2 linked regions of the Drosophila melanogaster genome follow. Changing the gene in region 1 together with any one later gene gives a genetic interaction. Each region holds a gene or a part of one and is shown in the gene's direction. Other genes may lie near its edges.

Region 1 (3,470 bases):
TATTTACACTAGTCTTATGCCTTGTGGAAAGTTCTCAAATTTTCCCGCACTCATTTCCCCGTTTAACGATCGTATTTCACAGTTTTGCATGCACTGCGACTGACTGTAAATTCCAGACGATCGGGTGCTTGTAAATTAAAATTTAAATAAATAAACGCATTGGAAATTATGACCAGCAGCAAAAGTAAATGAATGTTAACTGATACACCGTTCGTATGTATTGTAAATTATTCGTATGTTGGCGACGGCGATCGAAGCCACAATTTATTGAATTGAACAATGTGCGCAAAGAAATACGTGATATTCTGAAATAGTCGAGACGGGAATACCCCTTAAGATGTAATAGATATTTTAGCAGCTTATATTTATACCAAAATTAAGATGGTACACATTTATAACACTTAATTATATACATACAATTGAATATTTTTTTAATATATAGTTTAATTTTTGGAACAAGTTTGTATGCTCTTTGAAAGAGTATCATGCCGACAATAGCTCAAATCGATTAAATATTTTCGTATGCCGTACGCTATTTTCGACCTCATGTTCAGCAAATTATGTTGGATTTTGTTTTTTTTTTTTTACCTCATATGCTGACGTTTGAGTTTTGTGTTAACACGTCGAATGTATATAAAAATTTTTTTGTGACTCCGCAGCTTAATTTAATGTTAATAATTTGTTGCACGTTTTTATGACACTGCAAACTGGATTGTTGCCATTATTTTGGAGGTGATGTAAATGTGTCGCTGAAGCTGTCACACTTGTCCAAATTAAAATCTTGTTGGCATTACGGGAGTGGAATTTGAAATTTAACTGAGTTCCGATGTGGATTTTGTTGAAATTCAATATGCTTAAGTAATTATAGAACTTTAATGCCTGTAAAATCTTCTACAAAATTCTAGAAATTTTTCTGTGTTCAAAAGCCTTTCCATTTGACCCTTAAATATTGAATAAGATAATAATTTTCATTTTTATTGCGACTGTTGCATAATGAACTAAACATGTTAATTGCCTCTATAAACACACAAGATCATATGTCATCGTTCACTTAATAAGTGTATATATTATTTAATCACAATCATAGGGAAAATTGTTTCATAATGCTTGAAAAAAAAAAACGTAAAGACTCATCTAAAAATGTTTGCTATTTTTTATTTGGGTTGTTATTGTCCAGTTCAACGATGATTTGCATAACTCCTATGTGTTTTTTTTCTCGGTTCGTTTTCCTGTGTGTCGGTGAAAATGAACCATTTATATCTTTATTATTGCCTTTTTATGGGGCGCACATGGCTTCAAGAGTCACCATTGCTTTGTTGGTTTTTTAAATGTGCGTAATGAGTGGATGTTTGTAGTAAAGTGCGAGTAGTTTTGACCACCTGGATGTTTATAGGAAATGTTTGGAAACCTCGGCTTGGGAGATCTTTACATTTTCAATACCCTAAACCTGTAAGACGCGTTGAACTCGCCTACGAAAGCATTTCATTTGAAATACAAAATATAATATTATGTTTTCTATCCTTTAATAAATTAAATTTCTTATTTTAACTTGCATTGGCTGTCGCAATTTTCTGTATCAGCAATATTTTGGGAAAAGCGTTCAAATACCCTATGAGAAAGGGTATAACACGATTATACAAAACTCGGACAAAAGTCGTCTTCCATTCACTTAATAAAAGACAATAACTGCGTTTACTTAGTGTGTCCGTGTTCGTGTGTACTTGTTGAAGTTAAAGCAAACATATCTGGACACAGATATTTAACTATATATGTACATATATACATATGTATCTGTATCTATAAGCTATACGTACGAACGTATATAGATGCGAACAAACCGAGTGAGAGATTGTGTACACACTATTGCTAAGTGGAAGTTAAGTGAAATCAGAGCCGGCAGCACTTTGAACTCCAACCCGTTGTTTTTTGGCCGTCCGAACGGTGGATCAACACCTCCTCCAGATCGCGAGATCGGAGATCGATGCGGAGATGTGAAGATCTGGATATTTGGAGATGAGATCAATGGACGAACTTAGATGGATCGTATCCGATCCATCGACACCTGTCCGAACCGACCCAGTTGCCTTTTAGACACACTGTTTGTGTTTTGACTTTCAATTCCAAATTGTATAGGTTTCTAAATTTTCAAAAACAAAAAAAAAAAAAAAAGATAGAAAAAAACTCAAAAAGAAGCAAAAGACATGGCGTGGTGCTTCCGCGACATTCGGCGCCACATGTGCATGCTGGTGCGTCAGAACTTCGCCAAAAGTTGCGAGAAGAAGCTAAACGATCAGATCAACATGGAGTTGAAGGCATCCCACCAGTATCTGGCCATGGTAAGGTTCCGCAGTCAATAGGGAATATATATATATGCATATAGTACGTTCAATACACGTAGGCCTACCATTTCGATCGCTCCGATATCAGTTCACCCGGAATGCATCGATTCTTCCTAAAGGCGAGCGTCGAGGAGCGGGAGCACGCGGAGAAGATCATGACGTACATGAACAAGCGTGGTGGTCTAATCATTTTGAGCAGTGTACCACAGCCGTTGCCCTGTTTCGCCAGCACCTTGGATGCACTAAAGCACGCAATGAAAATGGAACTGGAGGTCAATAAGCATCTGCTCGATTTGCACGCCCTGGCTGGCAAGGAAGCGGATCCGAATCTCTGCGATTTCATCGAGGCCAATTTCCTGCAGGAGCAAGTGGATGGCCAGAAGATTCTGGCCGACTATATTAGCCAATTGGAGAAGGCACAAAACCAGGTGGGCGAATTCCTGTTCGACAAGTATATGGGCAGCGGCATGCATCCTGCGAAATGAATACCTCAAAATGGACAACCATCCGATGAAGAATACGTATTATAATTGGCAAACCCATGTGTGTTCAGTAAAGATTCGTTTTTTGGCCGATCAATTGTTTTTTTTTTTTTTTTTTTGCTGCCACATTATCAAGTGGCTGGCGTAAAACTAACTCTATAAATATACTCGCTTATCGGCTCCAAGAGTTGCGCAAGATTCTAATTGAAATCGACACCGAAACTGAGTCCAAAAACAAAGCTTCACGAAATCAACAGCTAAACCCATCTGATAACCCTTTAGTTGGACCACAGTGTTGATGGTATTGGATAGTAACTCATCTGCTTTATCCAGTTCTGTAAATACGTTTCTAATCAAATGACACAATATTTCTGTTATATATATGATAACAGTTGATAATCTCGAATCTATAAAGATAAAAGTTAAAAGAAGCCTGACATTTAACTACGCTTGTTCTACCCATTATATAATAAAACACTTGGAACTTGATGATGAAGCAGTTGGTCTATATGATAAGCATTTGTGACGTATTAATAGGTTATCTATATCTATATAGATTGAGATCGTGAAAGTCGGCAAGACACGACAAATATAGTAACTCATTCATTTAGTTACATAGAATATAATATGAAATAAGTACAGAATTGCG
Region 2 (3,520 bases), on another chromosome or scaffold:
CCGAATGGGAGCAGCACCCATTTAAGTTGTCATTTCCGTAACATATTCCAATGGCCCCGCACAATGGGCGAGTCCATATTTGAATTTGCCGTTTAACAATAGCCCCAATGGCTTCCCTTCCGGTGAGTTCCCCCACTTTGCCCCATTTCCGCTGGGTTCCTTATTATGCGGATGACAATGCGTATTTTATGCCGCCTGTCGGCATTGATTATAAAGCTGAGTGCTGTTCGGTAACCTTTTATTTGTGCAGCAGTGTGGGATGAGGAAATCATCATCATTCCACATGACCCATTCAGGGGCTCTGTAAGCGCAATGTCTAATTGGACAGACCCTTGGATGAAGATGCTGAAGCGCTCTATGAACTGTAGCCCAACAGCTCTCAATATGAGTTCTACCAGGGGAACGTTTTATTGGAACAACAAGACATTACCTCACCACTCATTTTATGGAAAAAACCGCCGTTTTATAAGTTAAGATTAACATAACATCAAAGTCACTCGGTCACTCTTCAACCTTCGGATGGAAGCCGGTTGCATCTGCGGTGTAAGTCACGCGAATTTGCTTGCCATCTTCGCCGGGAAGGAAGTATTCGCCCTGGATGCCGTTCACATTGCCTTGAGCTTTCACTTGGATCCCATTGCTGACCGTGATCTCATGCTGGAACTGCCCAGCTCCATCCAGGTTCTGGCGGTTCTCCGACTTCAGAAGTTGCGCCTGCAGATCCTCCTCACTGCAGCTGGCCAAAACGACGAAAAGGGCAAAGATAAGGCTCTGAAATTGAGAGGTGGCTGATTATCCAATAGTCTGTTTGAAATCCGATTAAACTCACATATTTCAGCATTTTGGAGCAGCTTCTTGAAATGAAACAATGCCCGTCGGCCTTTTATACTATACTCCGAAGCTGCCTAGCCCACTAAACGGGTTTCAATCGCATCTGCTAATGAAATGACTGAGATTAACCAGACAGCCATGAATATGAAATTTGCGGCTACTCAATCGAGTCTGCTTCTGGCACCAGAAGCAGGCCAGCCTCCCCCAACTAATTGATTGCGATTTTGTTAACCCATTTTGCTACTAAAAGAACATTTAATCATCAACAATGAATTTGAAAACTATGCGCCCGCGGCCTTCGGAAGGATTTCTTGTGCAGGCTTGGAATCCCAGTCTCTATACCTAATTTCTGGATTGCTCAGAATCTTGGCCACACCCTTCAGAAAGCTTGGCTTACTGATAGTGGTTTTTCTCACAGAATCGTTGCTTTTCTTTTCCAAGGCATGCGGTATAAGTGAGGAAAAATTTAGAGATGCCTCGTTAGTAAGTGTCCCATCTGAGGATTCAATTGGCAAGAGAGACATCCCCTTATTTCGCTTGTTGTTGAACTTCTCGAGATATTTCTTGGCACCCAAACGGGCGGATGTCTTTAAAGCATTCATATCCCAGGACACTCCCAGCTTGGATTTGATCTCCTCGGAGGCAGTCTTGTCGTTCGAAGAGAACAGCGTTTGGAACATCTTCTTCAGCTCGAGGTCCTTGGGATCTTGTAGCGATCGGACTGCCCGCGGATCAATCTGCCCAATGGAATTGTCTTGGCTTTTGGTTTCCGCCTCCCGCTTGGAATCCTTGTTCAGCTCAACTAAGTCGTTTAACGACAATTTGGGGTCCAAGTTCCCTTGCAGCTGCTGGAAATCCATTTCGGGCGCATCCTTCGGCAGGTAGCCGCGGCTTTTCAGGTAAACTAGCGGCGACTGCCAGTTGTCGATGAGGTTCTTAACAATGGTGTCAACCGAATTCTCATACTTAACTACTTTTAAATTGCGATCAGCTGCAGCACTATAAAATAGACAGATGTATAAGATTAAAGAAATCATTTTAATTTAAATTGTGAGCCTGTTATCGATGACTTTGTGAAACGGCTACACTATCGATATAAATTGTTATTGACAGCTACGTCTCAGCAGCCCTGGATCTAAATCAGCTGTTGTGTTGTAAGCAAACGTAAAATTAACAAAATCCTACAATTATTTTGTTTTTTATTGAATTTCATAGCCTTTCAGGTTTTTGGTTGATCGCACAGGACTGCAACGCTATTATGGTCATCACCAACAACACAACACTGCCCGAGGAGTCGGAGCTGAACGTCCAGGAGCTAAATCTATCGTCGGCGGCCTTACGGGCAGGCGCCTTCCATTTGGGCAAGCAATGCGAGCAGGCCAATAATGTTAGTACATCCAGATTGCAGGGGAATCCTCCTGATAGTAATGCTTAGGTGAAAAGCGCCTTAAAGTGAAGCTGGGAGCCGCTGCCTCTTTAAAATCCGAGCGGCTTAGTTATATAACCTAACCTCAAAAAGCACCTTCCCCGTTTGTTTACCTTTTCCTTCGTGTAATTTCAGGAGTTTATGCTGTGCCGGCAGGAGCTGGATGACCCGCGAGCCTGTTTGGCGGAGGGCAAAGCCGTGACCAGCTGCGCCCTGGACTTCTTCCGCAAGGTGAAGAAGACCTGCCATGAGGAGTTCACGCAGTACGCCACCTGCCTGGATAAGAGCAGCGGTACTATGGCTTTTTCACAGTAAGCACTCCGTAAATGTTGAATATTCCAATCATGCTATACCAATGTCCATCCATACTTTAGTTGCCGCAAGACCCAGGGAGTGTTCGACAAGTGTATCAAAGATAACTTCGACTGGGATCGTCCCTCCTATGGATACTTCTCGAGGGCCAAGGTAATTTCTCGGCATGCTTTATTTAGACCTCTCCTAATCACTTCTGTTTTCAGGTCATCCAATCAGCTCGGGAAGCACCCAAGAAGGAGGAGAAGGTCTCCTATCCCGATGCCACCCCCGGTTTGCCCGAGGATTACCCCAAGCCGCCAGCAAAGTACGGTTCCCGCTTCCACTGGCTGGAGTAGACAGCTGCCAGCGCCTAGTGAAATTTGAAAGCGTTCATCTTAATATAAACTCTTGTTTCCATTAGTACTCGATATATTTATTTCATCGTATCTTTTTCCTCGACACAGTTTGCTTGATTTTGGCCATAATATCCAGGTACTGGTTGTTCAGGCAGCATCCGCAGTAGCTAACAGGGAAGCAGGCGCTGCCCTCGATACGGCGGAAAAGTGGCGTGTTCTGATAGAAGACCCACGAGATGTTTTCTTCGCCCAGCACCAGCATGATCTTGTCGAAGCGGACGCCCTGCACCTGAAACAGCTCCATGTCGCCGGTGATGATGCGCCACTCTGCGTAGCGTATGTTAGCATCTGGGGGCAGCTTGGAGCGCTCCCTCATCATCACATGCTCGAACCAATCGCGCACTTGGATAATCGATCCGGTGGGAGCGTGCTTTCTGATCTGGTAGCTGATGCGCGGGTACAGAGGATTTCTGCGACAGGAATGAATGAGTTTCTGGCGATCTCTTGGGTATTTATATTAATTGCTTACATGTAAGGAACAAAGGCCAGGCGCACCAGCACAAATTCAACTTTCTCTCGAGGAGCCATCTTGAAGATAATTTTATTTTTATGC

Evidence for each region.
Region 2: of Fer3HCH (region 1) and ND-19, changing one suppresses a phenotype caused by changing the other (phenotypic suppression), as found in Drosophila melanogaster (one study listed by BioGRID).

Annotation. Positions count from the first base shown.
Region 1 is NC_004354.4:13,106,828-13,110,297, reverse strand, and holds Fer3HCH (ferritin 3 heavy chain homologue), read left to right. Parts: upstream 1-2,103; 5' UTR 2,104-2,201; coding exon 2,202-2,336; intron 2,337-2,398; coding exon 2,399-2,824; 3' UTR 2,825-2,916; downstream 2,917-3,470.
Region 2 is NT_033778.4:24,662,462-24,665,981, forward strand, and holds ND-19 (NADH dehydrogenase (ubiquinone) 19 kDa subunit), read left to right. Parts: upstream 1-1,936; 5' UTR 1,937-1,985; exon of another isoform or gene 1,986-1,995; intron 1,996-2,046; exon of another isoform or gene 2,047-2,054; 5' UTR 2,055-2,089; coding exon 2,090-2,218; intron 2,219-2,392; coding exon 2,393-2,568; intron 2,569-2,631; coding exon 2,632-2,722; intron 2,723-2,775; coding exon 2,776-2,907; 3' UTR 2,908-2,978; downstream 2,979-3,520. Other genes in the region: Cpr60D (cuticular protein 60D), read right to left, coding at 502-771, 830-841; CG30161 (uncharacterized protein), read right to left, coding at 1,113-1,868; CG34214 (uncharacterized protein), read right to left, coding at 2,990-3,377, 3,437-3,495.